2 linked regions of the Pelodiscus sinensis genome follow. The protein of the gene in region 1 interacts with the protein of each later gene in a pairwise test. Links are inferred from orthologs where the notes say so. Each region holds a gene or a part of one and is shown on either strand. Other genes may lie near its edges. The genes, in order: PGCKA1 and PDCD10.

What was found.
Region 2: the proteins of PGCKA1 (region 1) and PDCD10 interact in binary tests that used the Homo sapiens proteins (3 or more experiments, as listed by UniProt). The two-hybrid records come from large-scale screens. The link is inferred for Pelodiscus sinensis from reciprocal best matches to the Homo sapiens genes PGCKA1 and PDCD10.

Annotation. Positions count from the first base shown.
Region 1 is NC_134715.1:94,228,811-94,244,853, reverse strand, and holds the start of PGCKA1 (PDCD10 and GCKIII kinases-associated protein 1), read left to right. Parts: upstream 1-7,330; 5' UTR 7,331-7,345; coding exon 7,346-7,412; intron 7,413-8,766; coding exon 8,767-8,824; intron 8,825-16,043. UniProt on the Homo sapiens protein: Acts as a tumor suppressor. Acts as a tumor suppressor for colorectal cancer cell proliferation by targeting KEAP1/USP17/ELK1/CDK6 axis.
Region 2 is NC_134720.1:37,046,748-37,062,139, reverse strand, and holds the start of PDCD10 (programmed cell death protein 10), read left to right. Parts: upstream 1-6,846; 5' UTR 6,847-6,983; intron 6,984-15,392. UniProt on the Homo sapiens protein: Promotes cell proliferation. Modulates apoptotic pathways. Increases mitogen-activated protein kinase activity and STK26 activity. Important for cell migration, and for normal structure and assembly of the Golgi complex.

The sequences.
Region 1 (16,043 bases):
CATTTCAAGAAAGATGTGGAGAAATTGGAGAGGGTCCAGAGAAGAGCAACAAGAATGATTAAAGGTCTAGAGAACATGACCTATGTAGGAAGGCTGAAAGAATTGGGTTTGTTTAGTTTAGAAAAGAGAAGATTGAGGGGGGACATAATAGCAGTTTTCAGATATCTAAAAGGGTGTCATGAGGAGGAGGGAGAAAACTTGTTCATCTTGGCCTCTGAGGATAGAACAAGAAGCAATGGGCTTAAACTGCAGCACGGGAGGTTTAGGTTAGAAATTAGGAAAAAGTTCCTAACTGTCCGGGTAGTCAAACACTGGAATAAATTGCCCATGGAGGTTGTGGAATCTCCATCTCTGGAGATATTTAAGAGTAGGTTAGATAAATGTTCATCAGGAATGGTCTAGTCAGTTCTTGGTCCTGCCATGAGGACAGGGGACTGGACTCTATGACCTGTCGAGGTCCCTTCCAGTCCTAGTATTCTATGATTCTATAATTTATAAAACTGACTCTAGAAAAATTCCTCTAGAAAAGCCAAAAAGGAAAAAAACAAAAACAAACATCCCAAGATGAGAAAGTGATTCCACCATCAGCAAGCTTGTAGGCTTTGGTCAAGTCTAAAGTAGGAGTTTGAGGACCTATGCAAGTAAAACCTCCTTGTTGTTCTGGCTCAGAAGGTAGCATAACATGAGGTACCTGCAGTAATAAATATTTTGTAGTATACATTCTGCCCTTACTTGCATTTTACCAATCCTCATCTAATTTTGGGGAGGTCGCAAATATGTAAATAAGAGCAGAATTAGCTGCTGATACCAAAGTCAGAAATCAAGCTTGTCCTCATTTTTCTGGATAAACTATGCACTGCTGATAGTAAAGAAAGCATAGAAATTAGCATCAGACAGTGTCTCTGACAGTGGCCAGCACCTGATGCGTCGGAGGAAGCAATAAGAAAGCTGCGCTATAACAACCAGTTTGTAACAAGGTAGCATGATTTTCTGTTGACTAGCCCACTACTACTGTCATCCTATCATATTTCAGAAATACCTACTTTATCAAGATCCCTTTTTATTATCAGGCATTTTAGTTCACCTATTTTTTAAATGTAGGCTTCTCACATTCATTTCTAGCCAGTTCTAGTTTTAATTTCTGGCTGTGTGCCTATTTTAATTCAACTCTTTAATCTGATACCCTGTTATTTTTCTGGAATGTACTTCTCTGATCTCAACCTGTCCTTTCTATAGTTTAGCTGTAATTTCTGTCCTATCCTTTACTGGATACAGAGACACCTTTGTTCTATTGCCATCCCTTAATAGACGTCTTTGTCTGACCTGAGTGCTTCTTAGCACCTGTTGGCTTTCTTCAGCATTCAAATTATCCACTAAAATCATGTCCATATTTCATACAACAATTTAATTCCATCCCTTCTGTACAGGCTCTTCTTGAGCCAAAAAAATTCCACAGAACCAAATACATTTAAACCCTTCCTCTTTGCACTGTCTTCTAAGCCACAAAACCATCACGTCTCCCCTGTTTAGCTGTTGCTCTATTTGGAACCAGAAGTATTTTTGAGAAAGCTACCAAGGCCAGGTCTACACTGGTGGAGAAAAATCAATGCAAGATAGGCAACTCCAACTATGTGAATTTCATAGCTGTAGTCAACATAACTTGCATCAGTTTTCTAGGACAGTCCCATAGTGTGAGGTTGATGGGAGAAACAATCCCATCAACTTCCTTACTCCTCATCACAGCTACTTTAGTAGACGTGCTAAATCAAACCTCAGATAATCGATCGCTAGAGCATCGATCCTCCAGCAAGTGCAGATGTGGCCTTGGATTTAGATCTTATCCTTAATAAACTAAAGCAGGGTTTCTCAACCCATGAGTCGGGATCCAAAACTGGGACAGATTGTTTCAAAGGTTTTTGTGGCAGCTCCTGTCCCATAAGGCTTGCATTTCTGCTCCAGGCACTGACACCTTTGGGGATCCCAGCGCCATTCAGGAGTGGCCCAGCCATTGTGACAACAGGAGTCCAAGTTGTACAAGTCCGAGTGCCATTGCAACTCCATGAGTCAGGTCATAACTCCACTCACACTTGGTCCACTCAGGCGACCCTAGAGCAGACAGCCAAGCTCAAACAGTCCCGCCAAAAAGGAGCTGCAGGAGGTTAGTGCCAAGCAGGCCCCAGCCTGTTGGGAAGGCAGGATCTGGCTGAAACCATGCCAGGGCCTCTATCCCCACACCATTTACTGGGTCATAATAGGCCATAAATGTTTACAAATGGGTCCTGAGTCTCAAAACATCAAGAACCACTGATCTAAGCTCTCACGCTGAGATAGGCATCAGACAGAGCAAATACACGGAAGTCTGAACAGCATGGGAGTCTGGTGCGAAGAAGAGTGGGATGCTCAAATAAGAACTAGTAGAAGAAAGCATAGCAAAGTAATTACATTAAAAAACCTCAGTGTATCCAAAGGAACTAGAGAAATAGCCATAGATTAGTCAGGGTAGGGACTATGGAGTTCAGTGCACTGTAGCCCTGCACCAATTTTCAATGACCTCAATGGAAAGTCCTCTGTTTACATCAAAGGGAGTTGGGTGAGTCCTAGAGGGCTAAATGCATGACTGTTTGCCTTGTGGCCACTTGTATGCGCCCAGAGCAAGAAACACATATCCCTCAGCATCTTTCAGCCAGAGCTGCTAAATGGGGGGAAACCTAATTATTTATGGAGACATTGTAAAAGGGCACTCTACGATATGCCAACTTCAGAAAAGGCTGTCTTGATTCTCCAGTTGATTAAATCAGTGTCATGACTGAAGGACACATGGAGAGATAGCTGGGTAGGTGGTGACTACAACAGACATTACATGACTTGCCATAACAGCAAATAGGTGGCAGATTTCACAAAACATCTACCAAAACCTCTAGTGAGATCTACTAGGTCCAGAATGGTACTTCAAATATAAAGGGAATACAAGAGGAAGGTCCTGAAAGCCAAATGTAGACTATTAGGACACAAAAACAGTTTAAAGATTGTCATGAAAGGCCATATACACAAGGAACAGCATTGCCATTTTACATCACAATATTTTGACTGTAACTCCATATTAAGCAGGCACATGTTTTAAAATAAAACATTAAAACTTAAGTATGTCTGGTACATATTAATTCCCAAAGCATGCCTCCCTCCAAGCATATCCATACACTGTGTCGAACAAGTTCACTACAAGACATTTTTCTAATGATTTCCTTTAAAAATCCCTGAAGCAAAATAGCAATGGTCCTTTGAATTCCCCAGTCAGGACTGCAGCTAATTGTGTTTCCTAAGTTACGAAGCAGATAATCAGATCCTATGAATGCAGAACATTCTGCTTTTACTGAAGAACATCTAAACTCAGAATCTTAAGAACCTGGGCTTTAGCCCGACCACTGTCTTGGTTTCGTTTACATTTCCAAGCTTCTCCTCACAACCCAAGGACTTGTCACTTCACTTCTTCACTTCACTTCAGCAAAATGCTGAATTGGCTTGCAATGGGTGCTGGGCAAACGAGTAAGCAAGTCCTGCTATTCCCTCCACAAGTTTCAGTAACACTGTGTATCTATAATACACTGAGTCTCCACTACCCTGGAGGATGAGACTCACCATTAGCCCAGGCCATGATTCCCTTTAAGGTGCGCACCTGCACCCCAGGGCTGGAACTGTGGCCAGGGCAGGCTACGTGGTGGGTGGCTCTGGCTGCCGGGACTGCCATGTAGCAGGTGGCAGCAGCAGCTTCAGCAGCCACAGCCGGAGCTGCCATGTGGGGAGTGGCAGCGAGAGCTTGGGCCAGAGTCACATGGTGATCAGCTGCCCTGTCGCAGGGCCGGCCCTAGGGCTGGGCAAACTGGGCTCATCCCCAGGGTGCCACAGCCAGACAGCAAAGGACACCTGGGCATGGGTATTGCTGGGCAAAGGGGGAGGAGGATACTGGGCAGGGGGCATCATGGCAGGACATGCTGGAAGCACAGGGTGGGGGTTGGAGGCACAGCTGGGAGAAAAGTGCAGGGGCTGGGATGAAAGGGGCACTGTGCAGAAGTTAGGGACGAAGGGGACATAATGCAGGGTTAGTGGTAAAGGGTGCACAGGTTGGGAGTGTAGGGGTTGGGGAACCCACGGATGCAGTAACGGTGGGAGCAAGGCTAGGTGCCAAGCTGGGTGGTTTTCAGGGTGGGTAGGTGCAGAGTCATGCACCTTAGAATCATAGAACCTTGTTAATTATCCCTTGTTTTAGTATTTTTCTTACATAATTTAAATTTATATACAAATTTTGTTAGTAACTTGTGGGTGCCAGGGTGGCACACATCCAAAGAAGCACACACAACATCAATATTGGTGCACAAGGCAAAACTCACTCTGCTCACGAATGGAAAATCTTAGAGGGAACACTGGCCCAGGTCCTTCTGAATTGCTGCCAGCATGCCACGCCGGGCGCTCCACGAGTGTCTGAGGGCTGGGGCATGGAGGCGTGTGTGCTGCAGTCTGGGCTACACTATGGGGCTGACTGCCCTCAACCCCACCCCTTCTGCCCTCAGCCCCACGCCTTCCAGGATGTGGAGCTAGCCCCCACACCTTGCTCCAGGGCCCATGGTGGCTGTCAGTGAATGTTACCGATGTAGACAGCTTATCCTGGAACCTTAATCAAGCTGCCATCAATACATTCGAGTCATTCTACAGCCTACTATATGGCATTCATCTGAGCAGGCCACATTAAAGCCTTTTAAATAGTGTCCTAAAAATAATCAGTTTTAAAAGACTATTTCTAGATTGAACTTCCCATTCTAACCCCAGAATTTGGTGAGTAACACTTTCTCCCACAAGAGCCTCATACTTACAGAATATTTTAAAATAGATTGAGCAGCATATTACAATATAATTCATATTATGTTGGAACAATGTTAAAATAAAATTAATCCCATTTGCAGCTGAATGTATTTCCACCTCTCTTCCCACTACATATTATGCCAATAAGCGTGTTTGTAAGAACTCATGCTAAGAACACAAGGCCAGACAAAGTGTACCAAATGGTACAGAAACATGTCCACTGACATATGTAGCACGGGAACACACATTCAGAATCTGACATACCTATTCTTTATTATTATAATTACTGTGAGCAAGCTGACCTAAATTAATACTGCAGCAATGGATTGGTGGATGAGGTCAGACACTAGTAATGCTGGCCAAACAGGATATGCTGGCACACCAGACTCAGCTGCCAATTCAGCTCTGAGCTGGCTTTGTCTGTGCATTCCAGTGATGTCACTTAGTGGTACAGAATCCCAGCAATGTGATCACCCTTGGCTAGAATGACCAACTGTCCATCTTCTGCACACTTAAGTAATAATTGACAAAGTAGTGATATTACAGTGTTATGCAGTATTAGAAACAATAACCAAGGGAACAAAGGATATTAAAATGGGGAAGCAGTGGACATGATGTGACTGTTACTCTCTGAATCAAATATGATTCGCATGCTCTTAGCTTGTCTTTCCCCTCAGCTGTTGGCTGGAACTATCTATTGCCTCTGGTCATATGGTTAAGCTGTAAAACTCTTTAAGAAAGGGTCTGCATTTTAGAGAAGTATGTGGCGGTTAGCTCAAAGGGGCCCTGACACCTAGACACTACCAGATACAAGTAATTAATACAAGTGGTCACTTACAACCTAGGACAAATGAACTTCAGCAATCATGAGAAATTAAAGTAAATCCAGGAAAGGCTTCTGAAGAGGAAGTGAGTTATTTTTATGCAACTGGTATTTGTTTGTCCCATCTGCACACTAGCTAATGATTGCAAGGGATTTACCCTTTGCCCCATACTTCCTTTTAATAATCTAAAATGAAAATGATATTTTAATTTTACATGGTAAATTGTGGGGTGAGATGATTTTCTTTGACTTACTATTTTGGGTGGTAGAACAGGGATCTCAGACAGGACACATTCTTCTCTGTTTTAAAGGTATAATAATGTAAAGGACAGAATTATGCCTCACTATGTTTTACTGATCAGTGTGATTAAGACCCACCATACGCTTTTACTAATTAGCGCCTTACAAGTCTGTAGTCCCTCTAACTTCCTCCATGGAATTGGAAAAGAGACAAATGCCATATAAAAAAAAACAAAGATTTTTGTGACACACACAACACAAGAGTATGAGTGTTTGCTAGAGAAACATTGAGACAAAGACAGACATGAAGAGGAATAGAAAAGCTACTGAGGGAGGGATAGCTCAGTGGTTTGAGCATTGGCCTGCTAAACCCAGGGTTGTGTTCAATCCTTGCGGAGGCCATTTAGGGATTTGGGGCAAAAATTTATCAGGGACCGTACTTGGTCCTGCTGTGAAGGCAGGGGACTGGACTCCATGACCTTTCAAGGTCCCTTCCAGTTCTAGGAGACAGACAATCTCCATTAATTTAATTTAAGTGTTTGAGTATTACACACCATGTTACACAGCTCTTTTCAAAGTGGAGATATCTCAGAGCAGTAACTTGGATACTAGATAACAGCACAAAGACTGTAAGCAAACATGTTAGTCATTAAGGGCCTGTCCTGCAAAGGCAGTGAACATCTTCTGCCTGGCACAGAGCACCCACAATTCTCATCAACCTCAGTGAGACCCAAGGGAGCTCAGTACCTCACAGAAGGCATTCAGCACCAAGCAGGCCCAGGCCCTAAGTACTCAGCAGTAACTCACACATGCAGCCTTGGACATTAGAGCCTAGGGTTGCCAGGTGTCTGGTATTCACCCGGACAGTCTGATATTTTCACCTCCTGTCTGGTAAAAAAAAATTCAGAAAATGCCGGACACCTAAGATGTCCAGTATTTTCTGATTTTTCTTCCCTGGCCAGGAGGCGAAAATGCCAGACACCTAGCAACCCTACAAACACTCAGCACCCGGCTTTCCCCCACCCCCAAACTCCCCAGCAGCCAACAACTCCAGCTCCCTAACCCCATGCTTACCTGTTTCCGCAAGGCTGCCGTCACAAAATGGCTGCCGGCAAAAAGATCAAGGGGAAGCAATGACTCCCCTAGGTCTTAGTGCTCAACCACTCCCCTGTTTCTATCCCTGCACTCACTCTTAAAGGGGACATGCTGTTTTATTTTTGTTATTATTATTAATTATTATTATTACTTAAGTCTTGGAGTCCTTTTTTTTTTTTTGCTCAACAACTTTGGTCTCGCCCCCCCCCCTTTTTTTTTTATTCAACAGAATTTTTTCCCTGTGGGTTTTTTTTGAGGGGGGGACGGGGTATTAGGTATTTTTGTTTCAACCATCTGGCAACCCTGCTAAAGCCTGTTTTATAAAGGGAAGGAATGCTGGACAGGTTAAGAGAGAAAGCTGGAAAGCAGGAGCAGCATTGCAGGAGCACAACACTCTCAGGTACGCAGAACAGCCTTTAAGGGGGCCTCCTTATGAAGGAAGCAAAATAAAATACCTGGCTGGAAAATACCTTCCCTTCTTCCTGGAGAAAAAATAGCTAACATACCACCACTGATGATGCTCAAGGGCTGGAAAAGCTTCCACTGGGGAGAGAAGATCTAACACGGCACCAAGAGAGAACAGGAGGGATTTTACACACAAAGTTATGAGGTTACGGAGCCAGCAGGGCTTAAAATAACCAGGAATGATTATTACCTGTCTTATGAGAAGCTTAGCTAGGCAACCATATATGCCTACTGCAGAAACCATCACTGTGAGTCAGCATGAGCTACACCACACTGGTGTCAAGTCACCTGTGAAACAGCATTAAACAAACATTGTCATGTGCCAGGAAGTGTCTGTCAGTGCTGGGTGGGAACATTTAAACTTTGCTTCCAATGGAAGAGCTTTGCTCATTTGTAGCTGCTGGTCAGGGAGTCTTCAACAAGAGGGGAAAGGTAGACAAAGAAGATGCAACTGTAACACCAGCAGGCGGAATCGAACCTGGGACATCTAGAGCTTAATGCATAAGCCTCTGCCACAGGAGCTAAAACCCTGCGGGTTTTCAGCTCAGACTGTAGAGCAGATTCATTCTCTCTGTAAGTGATCTTACTGCCACAAGGTGCAACAGTACAACTACACCCCACACCCAGAATGTGTGTGGGTTACTAAAGAGCACAAGATATCATGATGACCAGATAAAATCATTAACAGAGAAAGGAAAGGGGGAGAAGGGGAAAAAGGGGGCTGCCTCTCATGTAGTAAGGTCACCACCAAAAATGTACACAATCTGGCAAACTACATTTGCTAAAAATTCTTAATATTATTACTGCATATACAGACACCAATTAGTACGTATTTTTGGACAAATACAGTTCACACCAAATCTTGCCCTGTTGAGCATAATGAGTGGAAGGAGGGATGCTAGCAGGTACAGCATCTGCTCCAGGCATCTTGCCAATTAGCGCAGGTTTTCACCAGTCAGGAGTTGGGCTCCACCTCATAAGGATGCATTTTCTTATTATTCAGAAATATACTCCAAACTGAAGCATGTACCTGACCACGATACATGCTAGACACATCCTTTGACCGAAAGACCATACTCCTCCGTTATTGACCATTGTGGATATGCCAGAAGTAAACCCTTTTTGTAGCATTTAATAGTTCGAAGTAATTTGCAAGTAAATTGTAATAATTAATGTTTGCACAGCATATTGAGGTCCTGGCATGAAAAGCCCGGTGGTGGTATTATTATTATTATTATTATTATTTTGGCAGATTTCTTGAACACACACACACACACATATATTTTCAGGTGTTACCACACAGCCAGATGTTAAAATCATGATCGGTCAACTCCCATTGGCTATTTGGTAAGTATGCTGTAATTTGGGGAATAATTTATTTTTAAATACTAAGAACATAAGAATGGCCATACTGGGTCAGACCAAAGGTCCATCCAGCCCAGTACCCTGTCTGCCGACAGTGGTCAATGCCAGGTGTCCCAGAGAGAGTGAATTGAACAGGTAATGATCAAGCGATCTCTCTCCTGCCATCCATCTCCACCCTCTGACAAACAGGCTAGGAACACCATTCCTTACCCATACTGGCTAATAGCCATTAATGGACTTAACCTCCATGAATGTATCTTGTTCTCTTTTTAATCCTGTTATAGTCCTACCCTTCACAACCTCCTCAGGCAAGGAGTTCCACAGATTGACTATGTGCTGTGTGAAGAAGTAGTTCCTTTTATTTGTTTTAAACCTGCTGCCCATTCGTTTCATTTGGTGGCCCCTACTTCTTATATTATAGGAACAAGTGAATAACTTTTCCTTATTCACTTTCTCCAAACCACTCATGATTTTATAGACCTCTATCATATCTTAATTTTGAGTAACAATTTTTACTCTGAATATTTGTACACCAACAGCAACTGAGTTGCTTAAGGGTTCTGCTGCTTTTCCTTTATTCCCTTGCTGAAGTAATAGTCCTATTTGTGACAACAAAACAATTTCTATGTCCAAATGTTTATGTTAGGATGTTAGATAGTGGGTAAATTAATAGTTGTGTAACCACACAAAATATTATCAGTTACACAACTATTCAATAGCTCCCTGGGGCAAAGCCAGCAGCCAGTGCGGTCCTGGCCTCACTCCCAGGGAATCCCTGCCATCCCACAGTGCTGCCTCTGTATCAGAGGCAGCAGTGCAGGGTGGCAGGTGAGAGCCGGTCTGTATGGGGAGCTGGTTTAAAAACTAGCTCCCCATGCAGACTGGCTCCCTCCCTGCAGCCCTGTGCTACTGCCTCTGTATGAGGTGGGAGCCAGTCTGCAAGGGGAGCCAATTTAAAAAACCAGCTCCCCACGCAGACCAGCTGCCTGCCACCCCGCACTGCTGCCTCCGATATAGAGGCAGCAGCATGGGGTAGCAGCAGCCACTGTCCGTGGGTAAGCTCTCCGTGGACAGGGACTGCTGCTGGAACAACCTCTGTCCACGGCGAGCCTGGGTCTGCCACGAGCAGAGGCTGTTTTGTGTTAGCAGCCCCTGTCCAGAGGGGTCCGAGCTCACCACAGACAGCACTGCTCTGCCTGTAGAGGACTCAGGCTCACTGCAGACAGAGGCTCCTCCAGCAGCAACCCCTCTCTGCAGGGAACTCGGCACACTACCCAACCCCACCCCACAGATAGGGACTGCTGCCACAAAACAGCCTCTGCCTGCGGTGGGCCCAGGCTCGCCACAGACAGAGGCTGCTCTACAGGATGCAGAGCAGCCTCTGTCCAGGGTGAGCCAGGGCCCGCTGTAGGCAGAGGCTGTTTTATGGCAGCCTCCCCCTTCCCACTCCCCTCCGCTGCTGCCTCGGATAGAGGCAGCAGGGCAGGGGAGGGAGCAGACGGCACCATGGAGAACCAGCTACCAAATCAATCTCTCTCTCTCTGGTCCAGTGGTTATTTTATTTATCTCCAATGGAACAGCTCCAAACAGAAGAGCCAGAAAGGCATAGAATCAATCTCCCTGATTCAGAGCAGGGACTTAAACCTGGGTCTCCCCCATACTCCTGAGTGCCTCCAAACAGTCGGCTTGTTCTTGTTTTGAAAAAATGTTCTCAAAGGTTTGGCTTCTGTTCCAGTGTGGAATGAGGCCAATAGAATTCTCATTTGTCAGCCAGCCTGAGTTGTAGACTTGGCAGATCAATTTTGGAAGAGCTTTTGAGCATAGCTGGGAGGGCTAGCAAAACTCAGAAAGAGAGCAGGTCACAGAGGTAAGACAGATGAGCATAATGTACCATTAACAATACACATACACAAAACCCATACAAAAATCTGTTGAGAGTTAGTGTTGCCCAAATGCATTATCTGCTAATGAAATATTTTTAAAACCAGAATCACTACTTAAGAAAATATTTACATACGCGCCAACCTCCAATATACTTTACCACTAAAACACCATAATAAGAGCTGGTTGAATAACAAATAACTATTTTACAAGCACACACACATTATGAAATCGTTTTCATTTTGAAATGTTCAAATGAGATTTTTTATTTTAGGGATTTTCAATTTTTTTATGGAAAACATTATAGAAAATATTGTCAAATGGGCTTCTGAGATATTTAGATTATAAAAATTGCTTCAAAAAAGTGTTTCAAGAAGATTGCTACGCCTCCCACCGAGGCCTCCTGTAACTTCTGTCTGTGGGAAGCTGGGGGGTCCCTGCAGACAGGGGCTCCTGCCAGAACAGCCTCGCCCACAGCCAGCACAGGCTGCCATGGACAGAGGGTGCTTCGCATCAGCCTCCCCGTCCCCGCCCCACGGCAGCCTCTGTCCACACAGAACTCAGACTCCTGTGGACAGGGGCTGTTGCCACCCTGTGCTGCTGCCTATCAGAGGCAGCAGCACGGGGAAGCAAGCAGACAGTCTGAGCAGGGAGCTGGTTTTTAAACTGGCTCCCCTCATGAACCAGCTCCCGCCTGCCAGCCCACACAGTGCTGGGGAGTGGCAGGGCGCTCCCTGGGAGTGGGGTTGGGAGTGCGCTGGCTGTTGGCTCCACCCCCGGGGACTATCAAATAGTCATGAAACCGACAGTATTTTGTGCAGTTACATGACTATTAAATTACCTGCCATCTAACATCCCTAAACAGCACCCATTGTAGCCAAACACAACGGGGGCATCTAGACTGGCAAGATTTTGTGCAAAAGCTTGCCAGCTGTCTACACTGGCCGCTTGAATTTGCGCAAGAACACTGACTTTGTAATGTACAAAATCAGTGCTTCTTGCGCAAATACTTTCACGCTCCCGCTCAGGAAAAAGCCTTCTTTTGCAAGAATACTTGCTCTTGCACAAGAATACTTGCGGAAGAGGGCCAGTGTAGACAGGGAAGAACTGTTTTGCACAAAAAAGCCCCAATGGCTAAAATGGCGATCGGGGCTTTCTTGCGCAAAATCGCATTTAGACTGACCATGGATGCTTTTGCTCAAAAGCACTTTTTGCACAAAAACATCTGTGCCAATCTAGACGCGCTTTTGTGGAAATACTTTTAACGGAAAAACTTTTGACTGCAAAATCATGCCAGTCTAGACACAGCCTTGCAGTGGTGAAGTTCATATATGAAAAAAAATCTCAGGTCATACTTAAGGTTGGGAAAAAGCAAACACAGGATGGAATTTACTGCAAAGTCAGGCTTGAGATTCTGACCTTGCACTGATGTACACTCCATCTTAGTGGAACAATGGAGGAAGAAGGCTTATGGATTAGGGACCAGGGCTCCCTGATAAGCAACTTTTCTTCCTGCCTTTCCATAGTCAGTAGGGGAGAGAGATTTGAGAAGGAGGACAGCTGATAAGTTAGGGAGTCAGGCCAGGGTGAGAGCATAAAACATGAGAAGCTGGGGGATCCAGGCAACTCTGGCAGTATTTCCATGCAAAGCAAAATTAAAAGTGGAAAATTAGGGAACCAGTTCTTTGGGGCACCTGACCCCATTAATGCTCCTGTGCAAGTCAGCAAAGTAGAATAAGCATTTCAAGGGCAGCAGCATGGAGAAGAGACACTGCCAAGAGATGCTCCTCATGCAGCAGACAGAGGTTTGGTTTTTGGTAAAGCAGGAAAAATGCTGCTGCTGCACTTACTTTCCTTACGAAAAAGTGGCAGAAGCAAGGACTGAATTGTGACCTTCAGAGTTACAGCGTGGCCTTTATTCTGCTGTTGGAATGGTGTAACTACATGTTTCCTCCTACTGGGGACCAATTGTGAGGTGCCAATTCAACCATGTGTGTTTAAATATCATGCATAAAAGTGACTTCTCACGTTATACTATGAGACAGAGTGTGGGTGTGCTGAAAGGAAGGTGGAATTTGGGACGATTGTGTTTGTGTGGTTACAGAGAGCCAGAGAAATATGAGACACATCAGGATCAAATTCAGTAAGGGATCATTTAGAAGTCTCTCTCCTGCTCAAGCTAGCTAGTAATTGCTTTTCTTAAAGAAGGTAGTTACATGGAACATTAATTTTCCTCTGATGCGCTATTGTGGTAAATTTCAAGACTTAGTTCCGTTCTTAAAGTAGGAAGTAGAGAGACAAATCTTAATGCAAATTTAACTAGGGATTTCCTACTGATGCTTCCATACCAAACTATGCATAGTTTGGGTTATAAATCAAAAGAATGCTGCTACCAAAGAATTCTGAATCATTTTAAAATTTAAAGAATCTACATAGTTTTAATTTCGCTCTCATTTTAACTTCAACCTGTAGAGTAAACAGGGAGCAATCCAGCAAACCACGTTTAAGCATATTTGTTGCCCAAATGACAGATACTGCTTACGTTTTTGCTGGATTGGAATTCTAAATTTGTGTCTCATTTTTCTTTTTCTATTTCCCTTTTCCTTATTTTCATTACATTTCCTCCCTCCTTTTACTATATGCTGGTGTTTCTCTGCTTAAGATTAATAGTCTCCAACCTTTCTATTCCTGTGTTTCTTCTCTCCTCTTCCCAGCTGTACCTGCTATTCCATAATCTTTCCATTCTTTTCTCACCACTGATTTTTCCCATCTTCCTTATCACTCATTTCTTTGTCTTCACTCATCACTAATCTTCTGCATTACCTCACTCCCCACCACGGACAGCCCTGCTACTCTCTCAGACCTCATACATGTGTACTCACATGCATATTCACAAGTTACCTTTGAAATTCTTAAATGAGATTCTGATACCTATGCAGCACATCATGCGAACCGGAGTTCATACCATAAAAAGCCCATGAGGATATCGTTACTGCCCAAAATCTATTTTGTTTCTTCTCTTTCCTTCCCATTCGTCTGCTCAAATAATCTATCCTCATCCCACACTTGCTTCTGAAAAGGTCAGGTGTTTTGAGGGTGTCTGATGAGGCCTGAGATTGTAATAGAAATTATGAAATATGGCTGGGTTTATCTTGGCAGTGAGGATTAGGCTGCTGGACTTCCTCTCTCATAACCCTAAGCAGGGAGGAGTTGTGTGTTTTGTAGGTGGAACAGGAACCAGTTAGGGAATTCAAACTGGTGCTTTTAATCACTGGCTGGCAGGAGTCTGGGGTAGTGAAGAGACTGTGGGCTAATACAACAGGAAGCAGAAATCAGCAGGGTTTTTCATTGGTTACCTCTGTATCATCTTAACCCAGATGTGCACTGAAGTTATAACACACACCTACTGGTATACTCTTCCATGTAAAGGGAGTCTGTTCTATAGCCTTAGCTGAGCACCAGATGGCTTTTAGCTCATGCACTAAGTTCCAGAGGATCCCAGGTTTGATTCTGCCTGCAGAAGACCAGGGTCAGCTGGCATTACACAGTGCATTAGAAGGGGAGAGGGGGAAATTAGCCCAATGGCTTACTGAAGTAGCCAATATATAGGTAAATGCCTGATTACTTGGTAACCCAGTGGTTTGGTTTAGTTTAGAAGAAGTTCAGATCTTATCCAAAACTTTGGCCTAAAAATCAGACTGTATAATCTTGCAAAAACTCTCTCAGTCTGATTTCTAGTCCTCAGTAGTCTGGGCTGAGTCAAAAATACCATTAGAATGTCTCTCCTGGCATTTGTTTTTTATTCCTGGCCCCAACACCAGGAAAGGAACAGAAACAGTACATTAAAACAACTAAGAAAGGATCAGCCACTTAAAACAATAGTACAGTTTTTAATTTGCTACAATCATTGTTTTGGGAGATAGTGCTGGTTGGGTTTTGTTGCACTGAAATAATTTGCCCTTCCCTATGCATGACGTCTTCTCACTTGTACTTTTTGTTTATCCATACTACATGTCACAGTCTAAATACACAATACAACCTATGTTATTACACAATACAAAAGTCAGAAGTATTACGTTTCTCCCTTTTGTTCAAGCAAAGTGGAGGTTTTTTATACTCTGCCTTGCACTGCACGTTTCGTTTACAGAAGTTATGATACGTTCCTCTCCCTTCTTAAATACATATTTCAAGAAAGGCCTCATTCCATTCTCTTCACCTGCATGGCCAGATTGCAGAATGCTACTAGTAAACACTTAAAAGGGGAATTTTCCCGCTTTTCTAATGTCTGTTTATCAAAGGGGAAAGCATTCCTTCTGTTTCCCCTGAATTCAAGCTGACACTATTCTCTCAATCACCATAAATATATGGTGGCACTTCTCTGACTGTGTACAATGGCAATGTTCCCATATCTTCCGGGGGAAAAAACCCCAACCTCAGTGTTCCTAAATCTCTTCCCTAATGTTAGATTTTCCTCTCTGTCATCAAACAAATCATCCATTTTGATCTCTTGTCAAAATTCAATAGCATATAATCTTAGAGCTATAAACTCACCTCTATTCCTCCTAAGGTATCTGCATCCCTGAAAAAGTAGTATGGTTGTTTTTTCAAAATTTATAACTAAAAATTGACTTAATACAGCCTTGAAACTTTACTGTGCAGAAAAAAATGCTGCTTTTAACTATCTTAATTTAAATGAAACAAGCACAGAACGTTTCCTTATCTTGTCAACTTTTTAAAACCTTCCCTTTTATATGTTAGTAGTTTATATTTAACACCGGAATTACAATAGTTGGGGTGTTTTTTCTCTTAGCCACTGTTTATATTGAAAGGAAAAAAGTTTCTCTTTTTCTTAACACAAAAAGCTAGATGTGTCCTAAACTGTAGTGGGACTAGCAGCAGAAGATATTTAAGCAAAAGAGGGCTCAACTCTTCCTCTGGTGACAATAACTCTGTTTAAGTCAATGAAGTTACTTCAGAGAAACAAATTGAAAATTTGGCCTCTTCTCTCTCAGGCTATGTATACACTGCCCCTCTCTTGCGGAAAAACATATGCAAATGAGGCTAAGTGTGGAATATCGCCATGCCTCATTTGCATAATTAATGAGGCTCCATTTTTGTGCAAAAACCCTTCTTGCACAAGAATCATTCTTCCACATTTTTCCTCCTTAATTAGGCAAATGAGGCACAGCGATATTTCTCACAGCCTCATTTGCATATGTTTCCGCAAGAGAGGGGTAGTGTAGACATAGCCTCAGAAGAGCAGAAGCCAAATTAGTAACACCACAGATTGAAACAGATTCAAATCCAGTTCTTTTTAGCA
Region 2 (15,392 bases), on another chromosome or scaffold:
TATGTGGGATCAGTGGTATGATCAGCACATTGGGTGAAACTCTCTAGGAGGATCTTAGCGATGCAACCCATCACACTTTCTCTCTTCCACACTTACGAAACACATTCCAAGACCATGCTCTTGAGATATCTAGCAAACTTCCCTAGTAGCGATCGTATAATTGAATAGTCATGTAACCGCACTCCAGGGGAGCCCCTGCTACTCTGAGGCAGCAGTGCAGGGTAGCAGGGGGAGCCAGTCCACGAGGGGAATCAGTTTAAAAACTACACCCCTCACGGACCAGCTGCTTGCTGCCCATGCTGCTGCCTCTTTACCAGAGGCAGCAGCACAGGGTGGCAGCAGCCCCTGTCTGCGGGGGGCGGGGGTCTGAGCTCCCCACAGAGGCTACTCCATTGGATGCAGAGTAGCTTCAGTCTGTGGGAAGAAAGCAGCGTCTGCCTTCGGCAAGCCCAGACCCGTGGTGGACACAGGCTGCCTCATGGCAGCCTCCCTTGCCGCCTCCCCCGCCCCCTCACTGTTGCCTCAGGGGGAAGAGGCAGGTGGTACCACAGAGCCAGCGCTGGGGACCAACTTTTAAGCTGGCTCCCACCAGCACAAGCTCCTGCTTCGGCCCCCCCACCCCTTCCTACCTCTGATACAGAGGCAGTCATGGGGCCGGGAGGGGAGGAAGAGAGAATGCAAGTAATCAACATGGTGAACCGATAAGTTTAGGGTTCTTGGTGTTTGTCTACTTGACTACTCAGTGACATCTCTATGATCTACCTACTAATGATAAAAAGCAGATCCTTAAAAACGTAAATTTTAACTATCTACATTAACCAAGAAAAAAAAATACTGTCAATGGTTATGACTCAATCTTCCTCTCCTTCGTCAGTGTGCCTCCACTTACTTTAGGGGAAAGATTTCAGATTTAATTCAGCATGATTGGCAAATCAATTTTTAAGTAGTTCCTGACCATCCATCCCCTCCCCCCCCCCATTTTACATGTTCATCTGACTTTACTCAAACCTTCATGTATATGTTTTTGGTGGGATATTTTACAGCAGTATTCTCCCTGCATCTTGGGAGTGTTTCATTTTAGCCTATGTCACTAAGATTAAAACAATTATACATTACTGTTTTAACCTTAATGATAGCTGCTGAACTCACTTGCAGTCTGCTGAGTGTTCAAAAAAAAAAAAAAAAAAAAAAAAAAAAAAAAAGAAGAGGTACTTCCAACTTATTACTAAAATAACCTTTAGAGGTAGCTGATAAAAGTTTTCTACATTGTCAGGATCAGGTTAAAACACCGTATTTCATTGGTTCTCATTGTCTCCATATTTCCCGCATGGAGTAAAGTCATATTGTATCCTCACAGGGTTCTACATAGTTATATCCACTTGTGATTCATGATCTACAAACATGCTCTCTGGATGTGGATATCCATGGATATAAAGCTGATATATGTAGAGTTCTGCAAATCTGCAGATAAAATGTTGGATCTGTATCCATCTGCTATCCACAAACACAGTCCATAGACATAAAGCTGATATTCACAGATTTGCAGGGCTCTGATCATATCACTGGCCTCAGGCAAATGACAGTTTGAATATTGCTTGTTCAACCATTTATGTATACATTTATTTCTTTTATTTTTCCCCATGTACATTGTAAAAAAAATAAAATGTAGCGGAAATAGTTGTGCTTTAGGCAAAAACCACTTAGCATTGTTACCCATTTGACCATTGGCCTATTCTATAGAAGTGCCCCAAACATGTCATAAGACTTGCTTTATAACAAGGCAATCAAATTACAAAGGATGAATATAAGCAAACACAGGAAGGCAGGGGCAAATTAGAAAGGCAAAGGCACAAATATGAGCTAAATCTAGCTAGAGACATGAAGGGTAACAAGACGACATTCTACAAATGTATTACAAGCAAGAGGAAGACCAAAGACAGTGTAAGCCCATTGCTCAGTGAAGAGGGAGAGACAGTCAACAGGAAATTTGGCAGTGGCAAGGGCACTTAATGACTTCTTTGTTTCAGTTTTCACCAAGATGTTTGGTGGTGATGGGATTCCTAACAGTGAATGCTAGTGGAATTGTGGTGGGTTTAGCAGTTAAAATACAGGCAGTTATGAACAGGGCCCTCCCTCTCCCTGGTCTCCAGCAGACCAGGGACGGGGAGGAAAGCGGCGGAACACGCGGGCAGCGGACAGCCCAGACGCGTCTGGGCTGTCCGCTGGCCGCGTGCTCCGCGGTTTTGCTCTGCTCTGCTCCCCCTGGGGACGGGGAGCAAAGCAGAGCAAAGCCGCGGAGCCCGAGGGCAGCAGGATAGCCACAGCGCGTCTGGGCTGTCCCGCTGCCCCCGTTCTCCGCGGCTTTGCTCCTGACGCCTGTGGTACAGCAGCTGGGGCGCTGCCGGTTGGTCCCGTAGCGCCACTCTGGGTGGCGCTGGACCAACCCAGCAGCACCCCAGCTGCTTTGCCCCAGGTGTCCCCAAGTCAGCCGCTGCTGCAACCCCGGGCTTCCTGGAATCAGCTGCTGATCAGTTTCAGCAGCAGCTGACTTGGGGATGACTGGGTTTCTTAAGTTGAATCTGTATGTAAGTCAGAACTGGCCTCCAGATTCAGCCGCTGTTGAAACTGATCAGTTTCAGCAGCGGCTGAATCTGGACGCCAGTTCCGACTTACATACAGATTCAACTTAAGAACAAACCTACAGTCCCTATCTTGTACGTAACCCGGGGACTGCCTGTAATAATAATAAAAAAAGAACCAAGTGAAAAACTACTTAGAAAAGTCAGATGTCTTCAAGTCACCAGGGCATGATGAAATACATCCTAGAATACTCAAGGAGCTGCTAGAGGAGATATCTGAGCCTTTAGCTCTCATCTTTGAGAAATCATGGACAGCAGGAGAGATTCCAGAAGACCGGAAAAGGGTAAATATAGTGCCCATCTATAAAAAGGAAAAATAAGACCAATCCAGAAAGCTATAGACCAGTCAGTTTAACTTTTGTGCCAGAGAAGATAATGGAACAAGTAATTAAGGGATTCATCTACAAACCTCTGGAAGATAATATGGTAATAGAAATCCATGCTGGCTGTTGCCTACTACCATAAGAACAGCCATACTGGGTCAGACCAATGGTTCATCTAGCCCAGTATCCTGTCTGCCGACAGTGGCCAATACTAGATGCCCCAGAGGGAGGGGGACAACGGGTAATCCTCACATGATCTCTCCCATCATCCAGCCCCGGAGAAACAGAGGCTAGGTATACCATTCCTACCCATCCTGGCTAATAGCCATTGATGTACCTAACCTCCATGAATCTATCTAACAGGGTTCAAAAAAGAGCTGAAGTCCTAACCTTCACCATGTCCTCTGACAAGGAGTTCCACAGGTTGACTGTGTGCTGAGTGAAGAAAGAACAAATTATGTCAAACCAATCTAACAGCTTTCTTTGAAAGGATATCAAGTATTGTGGTTCTGTTCAATATCTTCATTAAGTATTTAGATGATGGCACAGAGAGTATGACTATTAAGTATGCAGATGATACCAAGCTGCTTTGGAGATAAGGTCAAAATTCAAAACAAATTGGACAAATTGGAGAAATGGTCTGAGGTAAACAAGATGAAGGTTAATAAGGACAAATGCAAAATACTTCACGTAGGAAGGAACAATCAGTTTCATACATACAGACGGGGAAGCGACTGTCCAGGAAGGAGTACTGTGGAAAGGGATTTAGGGGTCATAGTGGACAACAAGTTAAATGAGTCAACAGTGTCACACTGTTGCAAAAAAAAGCAAACATGATTCTGGGATGCATTAACAAGAGCGTTTGAGCAAGACACGCAAAGTCATTCTTCTGCTTACTCTGTGCTGATTAGGCCTCAGTTGGAGTATTGTGTCCAGTTCTGGGCACCACATTTCAAGAAAGATGTGGTGAAACTGAAGAAGATCCAGAGAAGAGCAACAAAAATGATTAAAGGTCTAGAAAACATGACCTATGAAGGAAAGCTGAAAGAATTGGGCTTGTTTAGTTTAAAAGATATAAGACAGAGGGGACACAATAGCAGTTTTCAAGCATCTAAAAGAGTGTCACAAGGAGGAGAGAGAAAAATTGTTCTTGTCTTCTGATGATAGGACAAGAAGCAATGGGTTTAAATTGCAGCAAGGGAAGGTTAGGATGGACATTAGGTAAATCTTCTTGTCAGGGTGGTTAAATACTGAAATAAACAGCCTAGGGAGGTTGTGGAATTTCCATCACTGCAGATATTTAAGAGCAGGTTGGATAGATATCAGGGATGATGTAGATCATGGGTTCCCAAACTTTGGGGATGCCCCCTGGAGGTGCATGAAGAAATTCCAGGAGGGGCACAAGACATCCCAGCCCCTTCCACCCCCATCAAGTTTTGCTGCCCTGGTCAGTTTTTTTTTTTTTGCGCTCAACAATTTTGCTGCTAATTTTTTTTTCGGGGGGGGGGGGGGGCGAAAATGAGGGGGTCTCAAAAAATCAAAAAGGGGGCATGAATATAGAATATTCTTCTATATTTTTAAACAGAAGTTTGCATTATTAAACAACTTAATTTAGAAACACACAGTTTATTGTCCTTATGCACATGTAAGAAACAGTTTATGTCTGTCTCACCCCCTCCGCCCCACCCACACATCCTCCCATTGATTTGTTTTGTGGACTCTGCAAAGCACAAGACACTTCACCCAATCCGTAGCCCTCCCCCCCATCCCTTCATAGGGCTTACCAAAACAAGACCTACCATTACAACTATAGAAACAAATGTTTTTGGGATGCCAAATGAAGTTAAAAGCTATTAATGATATTAATATTTTTGCACATTACACAAATTTGAGGTCTTCCTCATCAATAATTAGAGATGTGCATTAATTGGTGTTCAATGGATGACACAAAGGTTAAAAATAAAACAAAGCAGGGCACAGTGAAGGGAATACCTTTATTTTCTAATTAGAGCATACCACTGAGTTACCATCCTGTGTATGGCTTTCATTATGCATTCAGTTATTGGGACCTAACAGGTGATGCACGGTTCCATGTTGTGTTGTAGTTCCAAATACTTGAGATCTCTGTTTCTACACTGCAAAGTTGGAGCTTGTATGGCATGTATGGTGTTCCATAGACAGTCCCTTTTTGTTGCTAAAGGGAAACTATTAACCATTGGCTATATCATCACTTACCCATTCATTCAGCTGTTGTAAGCCTTTCATAGGAAAAGTGCCATCATTATCATTTTATACAGTATTCTTAAACTCTTTACATAGAGGTAACAAATTTAAGACACCTGAATTTAAAGCCAAATTTTTGACATGTTTAAGTTTTAATGTTAAAGTTCAAAAGCTTTTCTGTAACAGTAGCTCTTAGTAACTAACCAATGTTAGCATGGCTTAAACAGGGAAAAGGATGGACTTAGAACAATGATATGATTTTGACCTTTACAGTACCTTTGATTTAAAAATATGAAATTGCTTTACATAATTATAATACTTTTATTAATAACAAGTGTTACATACAAATTAGTATCTAAAATAATTAATATACAAATAGTCTGGTAAATATACATTGGCAGAGGAGGCTAGTCATTCTATTGAGATGTCAAGAGATGTGTGAGATTCTGAAGGAGGGAGATTTCAGATATGGCGTGTTGTGTATTTTAGTCACAAAATACAAAAGTCTTCTGTTACAAAGAGAAAGTAACTTTATACTCAAATTGAAAAGTTTTTCTACTGATAGGGTACACTTACAAACTACATATATGCACACACAGATTTTTTATATATATATATATATATATATATATATATATATATATATATATATATATATATACACACACACACACACACACACACACACTAAAGTATCCACCTGTTTTAAATACTACCTCTGCACTCATTCTCAAGTAATTTAAAAGTGAACACCTATAATTAATTTATTTTATTTCTTTTTCAGTTTTAAGAACTTCTTCAGAGTTCTAAATAGCTTTGCTGTAGAAAACAACACATCCTGAATCGTATCAACAAACAACCGATGCTGGTCCCAGTTTACAGTAATTGACACAGTCGTAAGGCAAGTACAACAAATCCACGACTCCGTTCTACAAATCTATAAGGGATGTGCATACACAGTCTATAAAAAACATTAGAGCGTGAAGAAAAACCGTTTTATTTAATACGGTAAAAGATTTTAGGGGTGGCGACCAACCTATCCCTAGACGAGGTAACAAATATCGACAGCCGGAGCCAGGAATTTATTTCACACGTTGTGAGCGAGCTGTCTGAACAACTGACAAGTGAAGTGGGTTTAAAGCACTCACACATACACTGCACACGCACCAGTGTTCAGCCATAGTCAGAGGGAGACTTTCCAACAGCTCCCTACAAATGCAACGCAAAGTCAATGGACGTGCAAACATTTAGCATGCAACAAAACAGAGAGTCGGCGAAAAAAGGATTTCCTAGGGCGAGGAGCCCACCGCAAGCAACCAGGTCGCCCGCCCAGCCAAGTAACTGATAGCGCTTACCTCCCTCGGAGCGGTTCTGCAGCAGCTGCGAACGCTAGAACGGGGAGCCTGCCGGTGTTGGAGCAGCCTGTGGTCCAGAGACCGCTTCAGGAATTGTTTCTGTGGCGTCTGCCGACGCCTGCAAATTCTCACGCCTGCCCCGCCCCTTTCGGGACCACGCCCCCTCGTCTAGTCCGGCACTCCAATTGGGCTAGCTCTGCGACGACTCCTCCTCCAACTCTTCCTACTCCCCCCCTTCTACGCCGCAAGCTGGCCCTCGCGTTGCCTTGTGGGCGTTGTAGTCGTGTGGAACGGCACTACAGGTCCCAGGAGCCCATGCGGCTTGCAGGTTGGTTCCGGCAACGCCTGGTGTGTGTGGTCACCGCGGGGAACGTTTCCGTCTCGCAGGCACTTCCGGCAAGGCAGCGGAGCCCACTCTAAAGTCCCCGAGGGGTGGGGGGGAGGTAGGTACCGGGCTGTGTGTGCCCCCTTTTCGGAGGAGGGGGGGACGAGGCGCTCGGTGCCCACGGCTCGGGCAGGGTCACTAGTGTGTTTGTGTAGGGCCTGCTGATTCCCTCGCGGCTGCGCTGCGCTCGGGGCGTAGGGCGCCTTGGAGAATCCGGGCCCCGCCTGAGGGTCACGCTCAGAGGGGCTGTGGGTCTCCAGTGGGGCGGGGCAGGCCACGCTGTGGAGGAGGGGCTGGCCATGCCCAGGGCCTGGGCTCCTAGGGCTGGGGGCGGGCGTCTCCCCCCGGCAGAGAGCAGCAGGCGGAGGTCAGCCCGTGCAGGTGCACAGCCGGACCCGAGCCCGGGGAGGCTGCCCTTCGGCCCTGTCGCCAGGCTTCGCTCTGCCCCCGCCGCGTGCCGGAGGCTAAGGGTGTAGTGCTTCTGGCTGGCGCTGTTCCGCACCCGTCTCCCCTTTGGGCCACCTCTAAGGGGGCCCGATTTTCGGACGGAGTAGTTTCTGAATGGCAGGCTGAGCATCCTCCCTCACTTGGAAAAAAAAAGTCTTGGTCTGAGTGCATCTCTTGTGTGCCCTTGGCATGGAATGTTTGGAAACGGGGCCTTGGTTTGATTTACTAGTTTGTAAACTATTTTCAGGACCTAATGATAGGAGCAGCTTCTCTTTTGTAGTTGGTTTGGTTTGGGTTTGCGGGTGGGGGTGGTTGTTTTTTGTAACGCCAATCTTCTAGCAGTGTGTATGAGAAGCCGAAAGTGAAACTGACCTATTTGTTATTCCAGTTTAATAAGTGGCAAAAAAAAGCAAACAACGTGAATGATTAGTTGCTTTTTCAGTTTAATAATGGAAGAGGAACATAAGGAAAACTTAAAACAGGCGAATTTATGACCTTCCAAAGTGTCTACAAGCAGTATCTGTAACTCATGCTTGGTTGATTTCCCCTCCTCCAGCATGACAGTATCAGGGTCAAGCTTTTGTGTTGCTTCTGTATTACAGGAAATAAGTTCACCTGAAGAAGATCTCTGTGTGGCTTGAAAACTTGTCTCTTGCCATCAGAAATTGGTCCAATAAAAGATTCCCTTCTTGTGTCAGCTTCACAATTTACTTGGTGGGCTGGGGTAATATTGAGATTAGTGTTACATAATGGTTTTTCTTAAATATCTGTTCTATTTTACTTTCTAGCTGCACCTGATTAAATCTCAGAGATAGCAACAGTAGCTTTATGTTCAAATTCCAGAGACTGAATAGGTAGAGAGAACTTGATCTAGAAACTGGTGTATATTGTCACCTTCTCCATGTTCATTGCTGGGATTACATTGCATCCATGATGATAATCTGTTGCTTTACTAAATAAAGGTGTGGGATCTTTGCCGATTTATACTTTATGCAGTCACTTTAATTTGACTATGTACAGAAATTGGAGCCCACCCTAAGATGGCTTTCTTGTGTAAGGGATAGATAGAGGTAAACATAGTTCACTTTTAAAACATCTGCCTCTTGACTGTGAGGTGTTAATCTCACATTGGTGTTCACCATTTCAGAATAATGTATTTATTGGAATGGGAGTAAATTGCAAAACTGGTGAGATTCAGATCAGTTTTTTAATTAAGTAGACTGTAGGGATGAGTAACCAGTTACCCAATAAGCATCACCTTTACTGGGTGATCCTTACCGGTAACTGCTTAACCAGTGGCCCAGCTGGGCTAGAGCAACCACCTGCCCACAAGATCCTGGTTAAATAGAACGTTTAACATTCTTTTTAACTGGTTAACTTTTTAACCAGGATTTTACATCCCTAGAAAACCAGTGGTTTGAGTTCCAGGGACAGATATTCATGTTTCCTTTAAATGGTTTGCACAATCTAAATGGTGGCAGTCAGTCATATTCAAAACAATAAAGTGTACCTGATTTCCGATATGCAGTTACATTTTTATTGTAAGTGAACACAGTTATATTTATAAATGCTTCTATGTTTTCTATATAAGTATAACATTTTTGGAGACATGTCTCAATAATGACTGTAAGGATATAAATTACCTGATTTTAGTTGGTTTTGCCAAGCACATAAAACTTTATTGAAATAGCTTATTGTCACATAGCTTAAGTGTAGCCATAAGTGGAGGATCTTTACTTTTGGAAAGTTTTTGCATAAACCAGTTTTGAAACTTTAATGGGGTATTTCACTTTCTGAAAACATTCTTTTAGTTCCCTGATCAATGAAACTGCTCAGTGTGTGAGGCAGGGTAGGTGAGAATCTATACAAATAAATGCTTATTCCTTCTTTTATTTTATTTTCACTCAGATTAGCAAAAATTTAATTACAGTGGCTGAATTTGTCTTGGACTCATGTTTGGTAAAATCATTCAATGTTGTTCCAGTGAATGCAACAACATTTACTCTAACTAAACTAAATTTTCATTCAAAAATAACAGGTCCTTCAAAAGTGCATTGATCAGGAGGTTTGCTGCAATTTTTCCTGAAATGAAGAAAAATTTAGTATAGTGGCTTATATTTTGTCCAGAGTTGGTTAATCATTTACAAACCTGAGTACAGTTTAGTTACTCATAAAGTTGAAACATGATTAAAACAAACCAATGTTATTTTTCATCAAATCACAAACATTGCCACCTTGCCTTCACTTGGTGGCTGAATCAAGCTCCTCCTGATAGGAAATTTCTGATTACAAAGATAAAAGCCAAGCTTCCTGATTCTATGGATGGAGGATAGGGTCTACTCAGGACAAATGTTTTTTCTCTAGTTGAGTTTAAGCCAGTGACAGTAGAAATGTTGGGGGTTATTGTTCCTCAACCTGACCTCTTTTGAATTTTTTTTTCTATCTAGAGAATTTGAGGAACCAATTAGTGCTTCCCATAGTGAGGGTAGGATGGTGACTTTTCTGAGGAAATTTATTACTCAGCCTCTGCTCAAGAAATCAACACTTGACATTGGAAATCTGCTAAATTATTGTCTGATGTCTATCTTCAATTTTTGGAAAATTGTAGTGATTCAATTTTGAGTACCTTGATATCTTAGATGATCTTGACCTGAAACTACACTGATGATATTGATTGACCTCCTGCTGGTAATAGATGGGGATTAATGCATGATAACTTTTTCTATAGTTGATCATGAGTTGATGAGATATAGCCTCATTTTTTTTACTGAAATTTTCTAAAAAGTTATGCTAGGCAACTGCCTTTCCATACCCAATGGCACTATCATACAGGTTATAGAACACTGGAGTTCTGTCTTCCCACTTGGGAAGATTATTGAGGAGAGGTGTGGTATGTGGTGGTGATCAGTAAACTGATTTCTGCTGCTTAGCCTTATGTTTGTGGGTATGGATGAAAATAAGATGCTGAAGTTCAATCTGGATAAGACAAAAAGCAATGCTGGTAATTAGAGGGGAGCAGTTACAAGACAAAGTCTCTTTTTATTGAGGATTGATATATTCTATTTGTTAGTAGATATTGCAAAATGGAGTTGGTAGATACTTGACTAATGAGTAACAGTGTCTAGGAAGAAATTACAGCCCCTTCCCCCCCCCCCCCCATCTTTGCTAAGTTGTGAGAGGGCCAATTTGTTGGGATGTAGCCTAGGGATGTAAGGGACTAATCAACTATCTGATAAGCATAAGCAGTCAGTTGATTAGTGACTCTTTAGTTGCTCCCTCCTTCCCTCCCTGCACTGCATCTATCAGAGGCAGCAAGGGGGGTGGGGAGCAGGAGCTGGCTTAAAAGCCAGTTTCCCCTCAGCACCGTCTCCATGGCAGGGGAGACAGAGCCATGGCGGGGGACTGGGTGTAAGCTGATTCCCGGCTTGTGCCCAGTCCTAGAGCTGTGTCTTTGCTTTTTAAATATCTTAAGAGCTGGCTGGCTCTTAATGCATTTAATAGACTGAAGCACAGCTTGAGGAACCAGGCACAAGCCCGGAATCAGCCTACTGGCTCTCAAATCATTTAAAAGGCAGAGCTGCAGCAGGGTTAGCTCCCGGTGCTAGGAGCTAACTCTGCTCTGGCTCTGCAGTTTCCTTTGCTTATCGTCTAGTCCAGTGTTTCTCAACTTTTTTATAAAGTATCCCTTTTTAAAAAAAAAAAATTGTAAGTACCCTCAGGGTACAGTTTTTAGACACACACAATTTTTTCTAACATTGCAACACATTTGTTTAAACAACTTAATCACAGCTGGGTGGGAATGACATTTTTGGGTGTAAAAATTCAAAAATAATGAAGTGCTGTAAAATTTAAAACACAAATTAAGTTTTCTCCAAATTTCAGTTGACGTTACCTCTCTTCTCCTCCACCCCCCCACCCCCGACTTCTCTCAAGTACCCCTAAGGGTACTTGTACCAGTGGTTGAGAAGCACTGGACTAGTTGATGGACACTCTATTGACTAATCAAATTGGTTGTTTAAACACAATTTAACATTCCTAATATGGACCATGCCACTGCAGTCCATGCCTTTGTCGCTTTGAGGTTACAGAGTTTTACTACAGAGGGAACACCTTTTTAAGATGTACTGAAAACTGTTAGCTGGCACAGGATGCAGCAACCTGCATCTTAAGTGGTGTATCTTGTATGTAACATGTGATATCAGTGCTTTGTGAGATGCACTGAGTTCTTCCTGGTTTTCGGGTTAATATTTGGTGCTTGTGTTGGAGCTCCTCTGTATGAAAAAGCAGGACCTAGAACAGACTTTTTGTGAAGGGCTTTTGGCTCTGGGGCATACCTTTTTTCCTTCCCTTTCTTTTTAACCCTGAAGTCTGAATAACCTGATTTTGTTCATCTTCAAGATAGCTAGAATTTTGGGGGTGGAAGCAGCACAATAAAACTCCTGGCTTTGGAGTGTGGAATGGATAACCTGCTGGCTTTACTTCTGACTTGATTGAATTTGCCAATAATTAAACATACATCTACAGATTAGAATAGTCTTGTTTGTATAGATGTATGTGTGCTTATGTTTAATAAGGATTTAGTAAGGTCCACTGGGAAAGCAGTGTTCTAAGTTTTGTAAATTCAAAGATAAATGAACCTGAATTGTGTTGGAAATTTAGAATTTTCATGAACTACATGGTAGCTGGGCTTGTAACTAAGACGGGTTCCCCAGGTGTGACAGATTTCACATCCTACCTCATTTCTATTCATAAGAGCTATAGATCAGTGCTCCCTGTAACCTGAGTGCTTGGGAGACCACCCAGGAGCAATTCAAATGCTGCCTACCTGATTAGGAGAGCAGTCATAACCAGCAGCATTTATGTCTACTGGTGGAGTACATCCACATGTGCCTCAGTGCACATAAAATGTATTCTGCACATGGATGGGAAAATTAAAGGGAACAGTGACTGTCACAGATAGTAAATGCACTGTCCTGTGACTCCTCTACCACAGGGGTTCTCAAGCTTCATTGTACCAGAACCCTCTTTTGGCAATCAAAGTTACTACATAAGCCTAGAAAGAAGGACCAAAGCCTGAGCCTGTCCAAGCCCCACTGTCCTGGGTGGCCGAGCCAAAGCCTGATCTGCACCACCTTGTGGAGGATGAAAGCCCAATGGCTTTAGCCCCAAGCAGGGGGTTTGCAACCTGAGCCCCAGAGCAGAATAACAGCTAAGCCAGTTCTGACAATCCCATTAATATGTGATCCCAACTTCTGGTTTGAGAACTGCTGGTCTGCCATACTGGTTCAGATATTCAGCATTCCATCAGTCCATCTTTCTGCAATGGGCCATAGATAAGATTGCATCTTTTTTTTTTTTTTTTAATGTACCATTGAGTCAATACACTTCCACCATCATCACCAGGTGATGAGCTGGAGAGTCAACTTCCTGGAGTAGAGACAATATCCTGTGTGTTTTGCAGTGCCAGGTGTGCGCCTGATTCTCTAACTATCTTGTTCTGACTTCCTTTTCTGGCGCTCGCTCTATCCTAGGTTTTTGTATTGAACGACTCTCATTACTATGCTAAAAACTTAAAAAACAACAAATAGTCTAGTAGCACTTTAAAGATATATGGTCACCTTAAAGACTAACAAAACATGTAGATGGTATCATGACTGTTTGTGGGCAAAACCCACTTCTTCAAATGACTAGCATTACCATTCTAAGCACCTGTCCTTTTAGGTAGGCAAATTTAGATTCTTTGGTGGTTCTTTTTTGGGATGGGTTTTTATTTTAGGGAGCCTGGGATTACTGGTTTAAATGTAATTGTGGAAAAACTTTTATCAAGAAAGTCTTGCAGCATACCCTGAGCATGGTCACTGTCTGCGTTAGTCTAATATTCTCTGGAAGTTTGTTCATCAGCTAAATTCCCTTAATTGGATGCCTTATTTTCTGTTCACCTGCTTGATTCTGTACATTGTGAACTGCAATGTTGTAGACAAATGCAGCTGGTTGCACATGAACAAAGGAGTCTCTACTGTAGCTGAAATCTGGTCCATTAACAACTTTAAAAGGTAGAAGCCAGCAAAAGCAGAGTAAGTCAGTAGAGGGACTGAGATACAGGTTTGAATACAGATTGGAGTTTAAGCTAATAGTTTTCATTGTTATGGGTCGCAACGCAATGCTGGGTCATGGAAAGTCAGGCACTGGGTTGCTTTGCTGTAGGCTGATGAGGTGACCAGCCGTGATGCTAAGGCCAGCCTTCTGAAAGCAAGCAGCCGCAGGTCCAGCTCATAGGTGAAGGCAAGTAGCCCACTCTCACAAGATTAAAAAAGCAAGTCAAGCCTACTTCAAAACAAGCCCAAAATGAACTCCTTCCATTTTTGCTCAGCAATGCCTGGTGCCAAACCAGGAACTGGCCAATCGGAATGTGGAGCCAAAGCTTTGGGCAGGGCTGCTGCTGGCCACTTGCAAAGTGCAGTGTGGTCCACTATGCCTGCCTTACCATCCCACTGCATCAAGGACTAGGACATGCTGGGTGTATCCCTGTGCCCCAATAATCCTCTGTGCCAGCCCTTAGCCTCCCCACCCCGCCCAGAAACCTCTCCTGCACTCCAAACACCTCATCTCCAGCCCCATCCCATAGCCTGCATTCCCCGGACAGAGCCTACATTCTCTGTACCCCATCCCCATGTCCCAGCCTAGAGTCCCTGTCCACAATTTAACTTCTTTGCCCCATCCCCTCGCCTTGCATCCCAAACCCCTCATCGCTGGCCCCACTCCAGAGCCCACACCTCCAAGTAAAGCCTCATCCCTGTGGCTCCACCTTGTAGCCTGCACTCGTCCAGTCAAATGATATAATTCATAGGCATCAACAATTTTCTTCAAGGAGTTATGAGAAAAAAAAAGTTTGAAAACCACTGATTTAAGCTTTGGAGAGGCAGACATTTAGCGCCTTTATACTGTTTTCATAGTGAGCTTTCGTGTCTTGAAATTGCACTCTTTGTATCCTGTTCATCCTCTACATGTGTGTTGAGGGTCTCTTTCTTTAAATATAACTGATGTCCACCATTACCCCATACACTCTGTATCAGAGCTGGGCAGTAATTTTTGATGGGGAAGGGGGGCATTCCAAGACTTTGGAAAGAGGTTAAGGGCTGCATTTCTCTCTGGAGGGGGTTTGGGGTTTGTGACAGAGGGTATGTTCAGAAGGCAGCTTCATGTAGGGGGTTGGGATGCAAGAGAGGGTGTAGGATCTGAGAAGGAGTTTGGGTGAAGTAATAGGTTGTGAGCTGAGGCAGGAGATTGGTGTGCAGGATCCGGGAGGGTGTAGGAGTGATTTTTTTTTTTTACCTGGGAGGGGCATATAGAAGGGAGTGCAGGCTCTGGGGGAGAATTGTGACCTGGGAGGGGATGTGTGCACAGAAGGTTTGGGTGGTGATCTAGGGCAGGAGGGGATGACATCCTAGGGCAGGAAGTTAGGATTGGCTGGGGTGCAAGAGGCAGGCTCTGGATAAGAATAACTTATCTTAGCTCCCAGCCAGCAGTCCAAGACCATCCCTGAGATAGGCTTCTTCCTGCAGCAGCCCCAAGCTGCACAAGGAGGTTCCCTCCATGTGTGGCTCAGGGCAGCGCGTTCCTGGGGGGCAAGAGACTTTGTGTGCTCTCCTGCCCTCCTCCAATCATATCAGGTGGGTGCAGGACCTGGGGGGGGGGTGAGAACTCTCTTACCCCTCCCCCCAGCAGAATCATGCGGCGTCTAGAGGGAACCGCCAGCTGTTTTGAACAGTTGGTGGCTCCCTCTATCTGTCATGCACCTCTGGTGGGGGTGAGGGGAGGAGACTTCACACAACCCCTCACCCCAGGCCAATTGAGGGCACCTTGCTGTTCAAAATAGCTGGCAGCTCTCTCTGGAAGACACGCACCCATGGCAGAGGAGAACCACCAGCTGTTTTGAACAGCTTCAGAGTCAGATCAAATGGCTTGGTGGGTCGGATCCGTCCTATAGATCAGCTCTTGCCCACCCCTGCTCTACATGCAT